Astyanax mexicanus: one gene and its partner. The protein of the gene in region 1 purifies or fractionates together with the protein of each later gene. This does not show direct contact. Links are inferred from orthologs where the notes say so. Each region holds a gene or a part of one and is shown on either strand. Other genes may lie near its edges.

The links.
Region 2: the proteins of solute carrier family 12 member 6 (region 1) and stk39 purify together in Homo sapiens (affinity purification with mass spectrometry; 3 studies listed by BioGRID and IntAct, with this or other methods). This does not show direct contact. The link is inferred for Astyanax mexicanus from reciprocal best matches to the Homo sapiens genes SLC12A6 and STK39.

What each region holds. Positions count from the first base shown.
Region 1 is NC_064432.1:21,452,365-21,460,356, reverse strand, and holds the start of solute carrier family 12 member 6, read left to right. Parts: upstream 1-4,872; 5' UTR 4,873-5,012; intron 5,013-7,472; 5' UTR 7,473-7,992. Other genes in the region: nop10 (H/ACA ribonucleoprotein complex subunit 3), read left to right, coding at 1,893-1,946, 3,156-3,296.
Region 2 is NC_064418.1:33,562,129-33,569,306, forward strand, and holds the start of stk39 (STE20/SPS1-related proline-alanine-rich protein kinase), read right to left. Parts: upstream 3,100-7,178; 5' UTR 2,842-3,099; coding exon 2,736-2,841; intron 448-2,735; coding exon 335-447; intron 1-334. UniProt on the Homo sapiens protein: Effector serine/threonine-protein kinase component of the WNK-SPAK/OSR1 kinase cascade, which is involved in various processes, such as ion transport, response to hypertonic stress and blood pressure.

The DNA of each region.
Region 1 (7,992 bases):
TTCTGAACTAGTTCAAAGTTCAGTTCATTTTACTTTTTTTCTGAGATATTCTAAGTTCTTTGAAACTGCTTATTGTAGACATTTGCTCATGACACTGCAATTGTGGGTTTCTTACCAGGTGATGAAAATGTTCATAAGGAGAATCGGTGTCTGTCTCCAGTCATCACTTCCACTAGCCATTTTTTTTTATTGCAGCGCTTTCTCTCACTCCCGTCATTGCTCTCTCTCTCTCTCTCTCTCTCTCTCTCTCTCTCTCTCTCTCTCTATCTCTATCTCTTTCTGTATCTCTCTTTCTCTCTCGCCCTCGCGCTCCGCGCTCTCGTCGTCGGTCTCTCTCTCTCTCTCTCTCTCGCCCTCGCGCTCCGCGCTCTCGTCTTCGGTCTCTCTTTCTTTCTCTCTCTCTCTCTCTCCCTCTCTCTCGCCCGCACTCTGTCGTTGGTCTCTCTCTCTCTCTCTCTCTCTCTCTCTCTGCGCTCTTTTGAACTCGTTCATGCACAACACTGAATATACTGTACTGTACTCACCTTTCACTGCAGTGCAAGTCAACAGAGCCTCCAGCTATCACTGAAGATCGGTTCGCTCACTTCATCAGTTATCAGTGCAGCTTGTTTTTATATTTAAAAATAAACAGCATTCTATTCAGCCAATATAAACCACATTTAATTTACTATAATAATAATAATAATAATAATAATAATAATAATAATAATAATAATAATAATAAACACAGGAAATCTCCTTGGAATAAGGATTATCCATGTTCATTTTAATAATAGTAATAATAACAACAATTTGCTAGAATTAAACTGGCAAGACTTAACTATTTAAAAATATATACTGTAAAAAATATATTATAATAATAAAGTAAAAACAATATAATTTATTCATTTTGAATATAGTTAAGGACAGTTTCATTTGTTTTTCCGCTCATTAAAGAAACACAAACTGCAGCTATATTTAAAGCTAGATTGCACGGCTAAATTGTGCATAACATATCCTATAATAATAAGGATAATATCATATCATATTATATAATATTATAGATATATTACTAAAAATAATATACTATTAACTACTCAACTAACTACTGAAGCATTTTGCTCAAGTAAAAGTATAAAAGTACTGGTTTCAAAACTACTAAAAAATTCAAAACAGTAAAAGTAAAGTAAGGGGAAAAATGCCTTTAAGGTAAACAATTTAATATTTATGCTCTGATATCTATTATAGCAAGTAATTTGTCCGAATTAAACAATAATAATTATTAATAATTGGTGCAGCTATATTTTAAGTGCACAACTAAATAAACATAATAAAAAGTACAGCTGAGGTTAAACAGCTCCTTAAATAAATAAATAAATGACAATAATAATAATAATAATAATAATAATAATAATAATAATAATAATAATAATACTTTTGTAACAATTAATGAATTAATTAGGGAAATAAAAGTGCGCTAAAATATGCATAGTAAAAAGTACAGCTGAGGCAAAACAGATCATATAATAATATACAATGTCATATAATATAGGAATATTTCTAATAATCCTCATTTTTATCCTTATTATTATTATTATTATTATTATTATTATTATTATTATTATTATTATTATATAAAAATGAATTTAGTATAAAGTGTGGCATTATTGTACCGGCAGGGGGCGGTCGCTCTGCAGCGATGATGAGTCGTTACTAAGAACTCCATTTCCCATCATGCTCCTCGCTCCTGACTTATACCGGATGTGGTGTTGAGGAGCAGAGGAACCGCGTGGTTTACGCAGATACTGGACTGTTCTTCGTAAAGCGCTGATTTATCTCATTTTCAGCTCTTTAATCCGGTTTAAAGGCTTCAGATCATCTAATCTAAACTCCAGAGGAACCGCGCTGTAACCATGTTTCTGCAATTCTACCTGAACGAGAACGGAGAGCGGGTCTACACCCTGAAGGTCTGATCCGGATCCTGATCCGCTTTAACGTTACTCACTTAACTTTACTAACCAAAAGCTGATGTAGGGTAAAAAAAAAACGAAGTTGTTCAGATCTTACATTCTGGTTCAGTTAGTCTGGGGTGGTGGACCAGCTTTTTATATCGTCACCAGTAAAGTGTAACGTTAGCTCATGTAACTAGTTATTATGAGTTGGGTGGTTGTATCTGGTTAACAAGACTGATCAGTTTGGCCAAGCTAACCAAAATAACCATGAAGACAATACTGTACCCTGCGAATAAGCCAGTTCAAGAGCAGGGTTTTGCTGGTAAGTTAGCTGGTAAGAAGCTGGTAGATGGTCTTAAATACTCATTTATGGTTAATGTGTTTTTTTTATATGAAACTAGGCATCCAGGCCAAAACGGACCAACTAGCTGATTAACTGGCTGTTAAACATCACTTTGTGTGTTTGTTGTTTGTGTGACTGGTGTGGTGTAGTGGATAACACCACTGCATGGCACATGTGGGAGACTGGGGTTTAATTCCCAATCTGGGTGCGTATGCTGTGCTACATCAATTGGTGGAGCCAGGGGCAAGACTCCTGACACTACATTGGCCCACCTCTGTAACATCAGTAAAAGCAAATCAAATTCAACATATTGAACACTATGCTAATTGATAGCTGATTAACCAGCATATAGTCTGTTTTTGCCTGGATGAGCAGCTTTTTAATCACACTCACCATCAATTATCTTCATGTTTATGTAGTAAATATAGATTCTCTTGGTTTTCTCTTTTAATTATGGTGCTTTGCAAAGTGTTGAGTATTATAAAAGCATGCTCATGATTTAAGTATTGTCTTATTGTTTGGCCCTATAAATGATATAACTCCATAAAATAACTGTATGTGCAAATAAAAGTTAATTAATTAAGAGAAAGATGGCTAAATTTGACACTTTCTAAGAAGTTCCCAGAGGAAAAGAAATTGCTGTATTGTGCAAAAGAGTAGAGCCAGTGAGAATAGAAAAAAATAAGAGAAAAGAAAAAGAAATCTGACAAAATAGAGTGTAAGACAGAACAATAAACACATGCAGCAAGTCATTAAACATTTGCTATTTATGTTTCTGTGTGCTACTAGAACATTGTATGTTGGACATACTGTAGTGAATAGTACAGTATACATGCAGTCAACATTTATTTATTTATTCTTTATTAATATTCCAATTTCAGAAAGTGGATCCAGAAGGCCAGCCCACCAGCTCTGCACATCCAGCTCGATTCTCCCCTGATGACAAGTTCTCCCGGCACAGAGTGACCATAAAGAAACGCTTTGGACTTCTGCTGACCCAACAGCCACGACCTGTGCTGTAACAGAGCACCAAACAATGGACACATCAAGGACATGAAGTGTGTGTTTGCGTGTGCACATGCACACGTTTGTGTGATGTTGGTTGCGTAATATTTTGTTTTACTCTATCCAGTAAAATTGTATAATTATGTTGTTATACAATGTCTAGAGACATCATTTTAAAATGAAAATTTTCCTCAGTTTAATTGAAGCATTTTCTTTAATCTGAGTAAATGTGATACTTTATTAAATCAGGAGAACATTTCTCTCTGTTTTTCTGCAGTTTACCCTTTGCTTCTGGAATTTTGAAATGAATTAATTTGTCACATTTTTAACTCCACTCTCAATCTCTGAGTTTTTTTTCTTTGGGGAAATGAACCCCTTATTCAATAAAACTCATTTGCTAACCTACTGCTGGGTCTGTTTATTGTTTTACCAACATAGAGTGTTGTAGTGCAGCTGTCAGGAAGATAAGATGGGGCCAGAAAAAAATAGAAGAAACCTACCAGACCACTACAGAGCCGCTTTTAAAATTCTACATTCTACATGCAAAAAATGACCCCATATTATAGAATAGTATATTAGGTTATCTACCCACTTGTGAATAATGGTGATTTTCATTAAAGAAAAATCTTAAGGACTGCTACTTTAAGTATTTTGGAAAGTCAACAAGCAGATATGTATTATGTTACTTATCATTATAATTTATTATGTTTTTGTTATTTTACCCAATTTGAAACAGTGACATTTTAACATTGTTTAGTGGTAGAAGGTAGATTACTTTTTATTTTTTTATTTATTTATTTATTTATTTATTTATTTATTTATTTTTTACTTTATATGTATATGGATTAAAGTACAGTAGTGAAGTAAAAATAATACTCCAGTAGATATAGATACAGTATTTTAGTACTTATGTGCAGTTGTGAAGCAAATTCTATTTTTCCTGTTACACATATCTGGTTAAATATATATATATATATATATATATATATATATATATATATATATATATATATATATATATATATATATATATATATATACAGCTCCGGAAAAAAATAAGAGACCACTTAACAATTATGAGTTTCTTTGATTTTACCAAATTGAACACCTCTGGAATATAATCAACAGAAAGATGGATGATCACAAGCCATAAAAACCAAGTAGAACTGCTTGAATTTTTGCTCTAGGAGTGGCATAACATTATCCAAAAGCAGTGTGTAAGACTGGTGGAGGAGAACATGACAAGTGTGAATAACTGTGATTTCAAAACAGGGTTAATCCATCAAATACTGATTTCTGAACTCTTAAAACTTTATTAATATGAACTTGTTTTATTTGCATTATTTGAGGTTTGAAAGCTCTGCATCTTTTTTATTTCAGTATTTCTCATTTTCTGCAAATAAATGCTCTAAATGTCAATGTTTCTGTTTGGAATTTGGGATAAACGATAAAACAACAATGTTCATTTTACTCAAACATTTACCTATAAATAACAAAATCAAAGAAACTGATTCAGAAACCTATATATAAGACTACATTACCCATGCTGCACATCGGTTCCTTTTGTACGGAAAGCGAAAGTGGCCAAGCGAGCCTGTGTATAATACTCTATTAGACAGTGCAGGAGGAGGAGGACGGGCGGTAACTGAAGCACGAATGGGTTTAGTTTAATTCAGTTCATCCAGATCAGGCGCGGCTTTCCCCGGAACTGAGGCGAGACAAGGTGACTCCAGGTAAATGTGCTGGATGGGGAGAATCGGGGAGTGTTTATGGTTGGGGATAATGGGGCTGTGTTTATTACCTGGCAGCTGCAGGAGCTGCTGGGACCTGGGAGCTGTCAGATTTGACTAATTACACACATAGCTAACTAGCCAGCATGCTAAATAGGTAGGCGCTTTATGAGCTAGATAAAGGGTAAAAGCCCTTAATGAATTAGCTAGTTTATCTAACAAATCCTAACCCGAGCAGTAAACAGAGAAACAGAAACAGAGAGAAAACAGTGCTGCCTGCTGCCTCCATTCACTACAGCTGGCTGCTGGTGTGTTGTGCTGGGTATTCCTCCGCAGTCCTGGCGCAGTGCTTTGGCTAAAACATCAGCCAGATTTTTATCACTTTATCCCGGTCTAAACTCTCATCTGACCGGCGCCGCATCTCTGACACGGCCGAATATTATTGTGCTGTAAACGCTGCGCTGTGTCCGCAGACTCCGGGCTGGACTGACCGGTCCGATCCAGAAATCCTAATTGGCTTAATATGGATGCTAGCGGGGCTAGTTAGCTAGCTAAGCTAACTGTTAGCTAAGTTAGCTGAGCTGTGATGCTAGCGGGGTTAGTTAGCAAAGCTAACTGAACTGTGTGATGCTAGCGGGGCTAGTTAGTTAGCTAAGCTAATTGATATGTGTGATGCTAGCGGGGCTAATTAATTAGCTAAGCTAGCTGCACTGTGTGATGCTAGCAGGGTTAGTTAGCTAAGTAAGCTAACTTAGCTTAACTGTGTGATATGACAGCAGGGCTAATTAGTTAGCTAAGCTAGCTGAACTGTGTGATGGTAGTGGGGCTAGTTAGTTTTTTCTCTAAAGCTGTTTTGTGACCACTTCTGTTGTGAAAAGCGCTAATATATAAATTGAATTGAATCAAGTTGGCTAAACTTACTGAACTGTGTGATGCTAGCAGGGCTAGTTAGTTAGCTAACTAGTTAAGCTAGCTGAACTATTTGTTGCTACTGAGGCTAGTTAGTTGGCTAAGCTAGCTGAACTGTGTGATGCTAGCGGGGCTAGTTGTCTAGCTAAACATGCTGAACCGTGTGATGCTAGCAGGGCTAGTTAACCAGCTAAGCCAGCTTTACTGTGTGGTGCTAGTGGGGCTAGTTAGCTAGCTTGACTAGTTAAACTGTGTGATTCTAGCCGGCTAGTTGAACTGTGCGATGCTAGCGGGGCTAGTTTGCTTTCTAAGCTAGCTGAGCTGTGATGCTAACGGGGCTAGTTAGTTAGCTAAGCTAGCTGGACTGTGTGATTCAAGTGGGGCTAGTTAGATAGCTAAACTGTGTGTTGCTAGTGGGGCTAGTTAGCTAAGCTAGTTGAACTGTGTGATGCTAGTGGGGCTAGTTAGTTGACTAAACTTTTTGTTGCTAGCGGGGCTAGTTAGCTAGCCATGCTAGCTGAACTGTGTGATGCTAGAGGGGCTAGTTGGCTAGCTAGACTAGTTGTGATTCTAGCCGGCTAGTTGAACTGTGAGATGTTAGCGGGGCTAGTTTTCTTTCTAAGCTAGCTGAGCTGTGATGCTAACGGGGCTAGTTCGTTAGCTAAGCTAGCTGAACTGTGTGATGCTAGAGGGGCTAGTTGGCTAGCTAAGCATCCTGAATTGTGTGATGTTAGCATGGCTAGTTAACTAGTTAAAATATCTGAACTGTGTGATGCTAGCTGGGCTATTTCGTTATCTAAGCTAGCTGGGCTTTATGATGCAAGCTGGGCTAGTTAGCTAGCTAAGCTAGCTGAACTGTATGAAGCTAGCGAGGCTAGTTAGCTAGCTAAGCTAGCTAGCTAGCGAGGCTAGTTAACTAGCTGAGCTAGCTGAACTGTGTGATGCTAGCGGGGCTAGTTAGATAACCTAGCTAAACTAACTCTATGTAGAGCAAGCATCGGCAGCAATACAATACTGTGATTAAAGACTAGTATCAGCCATGGTATGATACTGTAATTAAGGGCTAGTATCAGCACTAATTCAATGCTCTATTTTAAGTAAATATAAGCATCGATACAATACTGTTTTTAGAGCCTGTATCATCACAGATACGATACTGTATTTGGGGCTAGTATCAGCACCATTACGATACTGTAATTAAGGGCTAATATCGGCACCAATACAATACTATTAGCATCAATACTAATGTGTTTATGCAACAAATTTCAGTTACTGTATCAGCTCTGATATGATACTGTATTCAACTGCACCATTACTGATATAATGTCTACTCTAGACTATACTCTAGAGTCATTTCTAGACTGTAGACTAGAATTTTCTGAGTTAATTTAATGAATGGACAGTTGTAAATTGTATCGGTAGACTAGAATTTTCTGAGTTAATTTAATGAATGGACAGTTGTAAATTGTATCGTCTTGGCATGTGTTATGTGACCTTGCTTACTATATTTTTTCTCTCTCTCTCTTTCTCTCTCTCCATGTTTTCCGTCGACAGATGCAGTTTTGTCACGTCAGCCTGCTTATCATTCCTGTAACAATAAAAGCACTTTCAAGGCAGATGACAAAGTGAACCCATATCTAGTCTAGACTAGCTTGCAGAGAGGTGAAGAAAGGCCAAAGGCAATAGCACTAGATTGTTTGACCTGGTCTCTGGACATTTAACGAAAGCCATTTTTCTGACATATCCTCTATTTTTCCATTAGAAGACAACCTTGTGAATGTATAGAGCACTTTACTGAGAGCATTTCTACCTCGGTTTGGACACAAGTCTTAAATACGTTTTTATTTTGATACAGGGTAAAAATTGACAATATCTATCTCGAACATCCTCCAACACTGTTGACGCAATTATCAGCTAGTTCGTACCTCTTTTCACACCAGCCAAATTCTAAGCTCAGTGTTTTATAGCTATTTAAAGCTAGTCCCAAAAACTGTCACATTAAGGCTGTAGCGTCCAACCATCAATAAGGATCATATCCAGAAGCCTCTTTCAGCCTCGTTCAATGGAGACGCTC
Region 2 (7,178 bases), on another chromosome or scaffold:
ATAATAATAATAATAATAATAATAATAATAATAATAAATATATTATTTAAATTTTATGAGGCATAAAATAATAACAAGAAAAAAAAACAAGAAAATCGAGAATCGAATCGAATCGTGACCCTCAAATCGAAAATGAAATCGAATCGAGGATTTAGAGAATCGTGACACCCCTACTGAATACCATCAGCTAATTCTGCGCAATGCACATCAGAGAATTCTATATATGGGCAGAGGAAAAGTGCAAGCTGGACAAAATGATTACGAGCATCTGTTTGTACATAAATGGCAGAGGCAGAGATTAAAGGACTTTTATTTGAGATTTATCTAGCCTTACCAGTAGTTCTTCCATGCTGGTCTGGCATTTCTCCAAGTTGATTCTTTTGACGGCCACACGCTCTTGTCGAGGGGTGCAGAGAGCAGCCTGGACTACTGCTGTGGCTCCACTGCCTAGAGAAAAACAGTTAAAAAGGTATTACACATCTCACACATGTGGGAGTGATAATTAATACTATTATAAATGAATATACAAATCAGAAAACAGAAATTCCAGGCAAAGTAAATTAGTAAAATGACAGTAAATAAGATTAAATTAATGAAATGTGTGATTCCAGAAAGTAACAATAAACAGAAAGTAGAATTGGAGGGTGATATGGCAAAAATTGGTTAATCACAATAATAATAGATTAACACTTCAATGACAAACGCATGGATTGTGTGTCTGAAATAGTTCTGAAAGGATATAAAATGTGTCTAACTTTTCTTAACACTTTACAATTTACAATTTAATAAACAACACTTTGAAATTTCATAGAACTGTTTCAATAATGTTTGATGCTTGCATTTGTCCAGTGTTGTATATGTGCCAGTAATAGGCATAGCATACTTTGAAACATGAATTCCGATGTAACATATCAACATAATTACAATGAAATGAAGTGTAATAAAGTGTAAAGCCTTATAAGCCAATACAGAACTGTCAAAGCGATCAGTAACTAGCTCAGGTGTTGTACTAGCTCAGTGTTCACAAGTTTTAAAACTCTGCCATGTTCAATAATAGTGTAATTTTTGCCTGTACTGAAACATTCTACATGCTCCGCTTCTATCAAATGACTGCAGATAACACTGCACATGTACCCGTCCCATTAAACAGCATCAATACTGAGGGCCTGCTCAATCACCATACAGCAACGCAGTGCTGCTGTTCACACGCAGAGTGTGTGTGACCCACCACACACACCATGCCAACTGCTGCTGACAGATAAGAAGGAGGGGGTCCTGAATGTACAGCAGTGCTGATTAGGAACACAGCACAAATGAACAGAACAGGACCTCTTCAGTAGAGAACATCGCTTATCAGCCGATATGATAAGGCCCCACCACAGTTCATCTATAGTGACCCGCACTATCTGTGACTCTGAGACATGGAAGGGTCTTTGAGGGGTTATGTTTGTTTTAAGCACAGAGCCTAGGGTCAAGTGTATTAACTAAAATAACAAGGTTTATAGAGCAGAAAACAGAATTACAATTGAACAGATAAAAGTTATCAATGAACTGATAAGAAGGGGAGGATTGTACAAGCATTCTCTTTAAAAGCCTCTATAAATATTAAGCAGAAGTAGCAAGAAAGGTGGGATAAGTAGGTAACACTTGAGAATTTGACAACAATGCCCACATCATAGGTTTTCTGACCATATCAGATAATAGTCATAGCTGCAGCTGATCAACCACTGACTTGGCAGATATAAAATTGTATGTGGTTACTATATACAATTATGGACCTTTTACATTTACAGTAGAATTTATGAAAATTAGGGCTGGGTGATACTGTAAACATATGAGTAATTCTCAATTGAGTTGTAACAGCACAATTTAAAGTATCCTATGTAAAGTTTCCTTTACATGTAACTGCATTTTTTAACAAATAGTAAGCAGCCACCTTCAATCTTACATGCAGCTTTTATAATAAACACAATGCAAACATAATGTGCTTAAATTTCAGGTAAGGAAAAGTGCTAAATATGAAAATTCACTGCCACATAAAAGTTTTTACAGGAAGCTGACAGATTTTGTTTATAAAGTTATACAATCTTGATTACCCCATATTGTTTTTCTAATTTGATGAATCAAACTAATATGATTAACCTCCCAGTCAGGCTTGCCTTGCTTGGCACTATGTTAGCTCTCTAATAGCTTGATGACAGTATAATAACAACAAAACCAATTATCATAATTCTATACCTAAATCTATTCTAGTCTTTCTAAGCTGTTTAAAAGTCTGTAGAGAGAATAAGGAAGGTGTGAGACAGTCTCTCAGGAGGCCTGGGGCAGACTTCACCTGAGATTTACTCTCCTGGAACCAGACAGTCTACATGCCACTAATGCCTGACATCTTCCTGGACACGTGCCATTAGAAAGCATCGTTTATTAGCAATCTGACAGTCTGCCACACTATCTAATAACTGTACCGTATAAGCAAGGGCGCGATCTCCACGCAGGCTGATTTACAGCAGAATGCGCTGCGTTTTAAGACAGTTAACCGGTCAAATACAGCAGTCACTGTCTATCTGTCACATCCGCATTGCATTAGTGAGCCCCGGCTGCTCCGCTGGAGCTACACACAGCAGCGCATGAAAAAGCCGGTAGGCCCGCTTCGCCATTCACCAGAACAAACAGTATAAGTACCGGAACCGCAATCAGCCGCTGCCGAGAACCAGCCCAAACTCCCCGCTACTAACCGATAACCTCCTGGAGCTCGTACGCCTCCTTGACAATCGGCCAGCTGGTCGTGAGCACTGGTTGCGGATTCTGGACGGGAGCCGGAGACTCGCCTTGCTCCGCCATGATGCTGCTGCGGCTGGGCTGCTATGCTAGGCTAACGGTGCGGAGCTCAGCTTATGGACACACTTTCACCTCCTCCTCCTCCTCCTGTTCCCACAGCAGCAGCTTCAGCCCCAGCTTCTGGTTCCTGCCCACTACAGAAACAGCAGGAGAACCACCCACTCACTACAATTACCCCGAAAACTAGGAGTAAACACCAGTTTTCTCCTAAAGCTTCCACTTCAGCTCTCTCTTCATTTACTAAAGTCACTCAGAGTCAGGCTGGCAGAGGAGATAATGTTTTAAAGAGGAAGTTAGCTAACAGTTCTTAGCTAAGCTAAAGGTTAGGCTTCTTCCTCTCTGACTCAATAGATATAATAAGTTAAATTAATGATAAAATAACATTATAATAATCAAATATTACAATAGAAATTCCCACTGGTGAAATCCTGCATAGCTAATTTAATGAAGGAATATTTTGTGGCCACGACTTAGTAAGCTGTGTAAACAAGATAATTAGCTACCTAGTTAATTAGGTTAACTCGCTAACATATGCTAACCATACACTAGAAGACTATGAAAAGACTTTTAAAAGACTAATGCTGTCCTTACACCTAACGATTTTCAAATGATTTCACAGTCACAGATTAATTTCCAGAGTCCAGATAAAATCAAGTCTGGCTAGAGACCAGCTGCAGTGGAGTCGTGGTCGCGTCTGGATCGTTCAGTCCTGAGACTTGGCTGCTCATAGTCACGAGAACAATGTTAACAACCAATAGGAAGAAGTAAGAATATATTTCACCTGACAGTTTTTTTTGTTGCAGTATTTGTCTTATTGTGCAGAGTTATTTTTAATTATTTATTATATTTAATTATTACTGTATTAATTCTATCTAAAGCAAAGGCAAATGTATAGTAGTGAAACGGTGATTCTTTACTATACCATGTTGTAGTAAAAAAAGGGGGCAATGAAGCTTATAGGCAGAGTTGAACACAAAATGCATTCTATTAAAAAATATCAAGAATTAGAAAAATAAACTGTTGATGGGGACAAAAGCTGTGAGTCTTCGATAAATCACAGTATTGATATACAAATTTGTAACTTAATATGTAATATGTATTGTATGTAAACTCCACTAGAAGCAGGATGGGAAATAACCTTAGAAAGAATCTAGTTGCAGTCTTGCAAATTGTGATCCCCAGTCTTTCCTAAATCTTAGTCTGTGACTATTCTGTGACTAAAAAGTCTGTGAGAGGGTGTCAGACTTCAGTCTGTTAAAAGTCTTTTCAGAGTTTTTTCAAAGTCGTGTAGTGTTTGGACAGCTTAAAGTCTGACACCCTCTCACATTTAAAGACAAATCACATACTAAGATTTGCAAAGATTGGGGATTTTGCAGGTTCACTATTCTAAAAGACAGCAATTAGATTCTTCCTGATATTATTTATAAATAAAATTTTATTTATCTTATTTATTTCATTAATTTATAACATTTTATATTTTCCACTCTGTCTTGGTACAAATGGGAAGACACATTAAAGAGACACTCTTTGCTCACTTCACAGCTCTATTAATTTCTCCTCCTTTGTACACTACAGGAGAACCGCGGTTTCCGAGCCACCATCAGAGTCTAATCCACGCCCAGTTCTGCAAACGTTCCCACATTTGCCTTGCTGCTTCCCTGTAGATCTCCTATTGGTTGTTTAAATTGTTCATGTCACTATTTGCGTCAGCCAAGTTTCAAGAGCTACGATAATATTAAAGATGTTAAACTAGATGATTTTATTTGAACACCAGGACAAGAAAAATCTGGCTAAAGCCTTATCCAGACGGGATTAGTTTCTCAGGGGGTCCTGGGGTAATTTTTTCTTTTATGGGGAGTCCTCTGTCATTTTAATTCTATCTGGGATGGCCATGTATGTGTTTTCTTAGACGTCACCTGATAAAATTATAGGCTGAATTACCTACTGTTTTTCGCTGAACCCCGTGGTCCTTCGGTATTTTAAGTCTTGTCCAGATCCATGTTCAATCCTAACCACCTTACAGTGAATGATAGAGATGACGCGACCACAACTCGACTCACTCGAAATCACTTGAAAATCGATTGGTGTAAGGTCAGCATAAGACGTGGCTCTATGTCTTGCTCAATTGTGGCCATGACTTATTTTTATTTATGTGTAGGACTGGATGATATGGTTTAAGTCTATATTCCAAAATGTTTCTTAATAACATTCTAACATCAGTTAAAACAAATAAAAAAAAAATGTCAGCTGTTGTCATTGTTTTTGTCAAGATGACATTAGCATTAGACATTGTCCTGACATTAAGTTTTGGCCAGCCGACTTCACAATCTAAAATCAAACATTTCTATCGACGTTAGTGGCCAAATAATATTGTTATTTTAAAATATTTACTACTCAATCCTGCTGGTGAAATTCAACATAGATAGTTAAATAAAAGTTGTTGTCATGTCTTACAAAATTATGGCCACAATTTATTCTTTGTATCTCGTTCCCATGCCTTTCGAAGTTGTGGCCATTGAATTATTTGTATTAGGACTGGATATGGCATAAGCCGTTATTAGAGTTGAGGTAAAGTTTCCAGTTAGCGTTAGCTAGCACAGAGCTGGCTGTATGAGTACGTTAGCTGAGTTATCGTAAGCTGAGCTGAGCTAAAGTAGCCAGCTAGCCTTAGCTAGCACAGAACTGGATGTGTAAGTACCTCAGTTAGCGTTAGCTGACCTGAGCTAAAGTAGCCGGCTAGCATTAGCTATCACAGAACTAGATGTGTAAGTACCTCAGTTAGCGTTAGCTGAGCTAAAGTAGCCAGTTAGCATTAGCTAGCACAGAACTAGATGTGTAAGTACCTCACTTAGCGTTAGCTGAGCTGAGCTAAAGTAGTCGGCTAGCGTTAGCTAGCACAGAACTGGATGTGTAAGTACCAGAGTTAGCGTTAGCTGACCTGAGCTAAAGTAGCCATTAGCATTAGCTAGCACAGAGCTAGATGTGTAAGTACCTGAGTTAGCGTTAGCTTAGCTGAGCTGAGCTAAAGTAGCCGGTTAGAGTTAACTAGCACAGAGGCTACTAGTCAGTAAACCTGCATCTAGCACAGAAGAAACACGGCTCATTATTAAACCCGGTCAGATGAGTTCACTTACCCGTCCTGTTTGGAATCCAGCTGAGGCTGAAGTGAAGCATTTCTCTGAAGTCTGATGAGTTAATTTGCTGCAGCTGCGTCTGAAGCTCCATCAGTTCTGGGAGTGTTCGAGTTCCTCAGCTCTTTACTGTGTGTCAGTAGGATGGTGGAATGGACACTAGAGGGAGCTCTAACGGCTCCACTGCAGCACAACACACAGGGCTGCTTGCAGCAGCTACTGAAAAATCGGCTGTGTGCGCAAATACCGACCAATACCGGTTATCAAAAACATGGCAAAAATCGTCCCGATTAATCAAATTATTGAAAAATCACCACTCTCTGTAATAAGAGATGGGTCAGTGTCAGTCACGGTCAGTTTTACTGATATCCTCAATATGCTTACTGTCGTTATGATAAGAACATTTATCACAACACAATAAAATTTTGATATATTTACAGTGGCATGAAAAAGTATTTGCCTCTTACAATTTTTTTTTGTTTTTTGCATTTTTCATATTATCATTACATTACATTACATTACATTACATTTGGCAGACGCTTTTGTCCAAAGCGACTTACAATAGTCAAGTACAATGTAAAATAAGTTTAAAGGAAAAACATCTTTGGATAGGGATAAGAGGAGGACAAAGGGGAATAATAGGATAGAGGAGTGAAGGAGAGGAAGAAGGAAATGAGGTTAGAAGTAGTTAGTGTGTTAGAGGTGTTAAGAGAGTAAGTGCTCTTTGAAGAGCTCTGTCTTCAGGAGTTTCTTAAAGATAGCGAGAGATTCTCCTGATCTGGTAGTGGAAGGTAGTTTGTTCCACCATTGGGGAACTCTGTATGAGAACAGTCTGGATTGCTTTGTGTGAATGTTTGTTTGGTAAAGCGAGGCGACGTTCATTGGAGGAGCGCAGCGGCCGGGAGGTAGCATAAGCCTTCAGGAGCGAGTGCAGGTAGGAAGGAGCCTGTTCTGACATCACCTTGTAGGCGATTATAAGAGTTTTGAATTTGATGCGAGCATCAACTGGTAGTCAATGGAGCTCAATGAGCAGCGGGGTGACATGTGCCCGTTTTGGCTGGTTGAAGACCAGACGTGCTGCTGCGTTCTGGATCATCTGGAGTGGTTTTACTACACAGGCCGGGAGGCCAGTTAGCAGGGCATTGCAGTAGTCGAGGCGTGAGATGACGACCGCTTGCACCAGGAGTTGGGTGGCCTGATGCGTCAGGA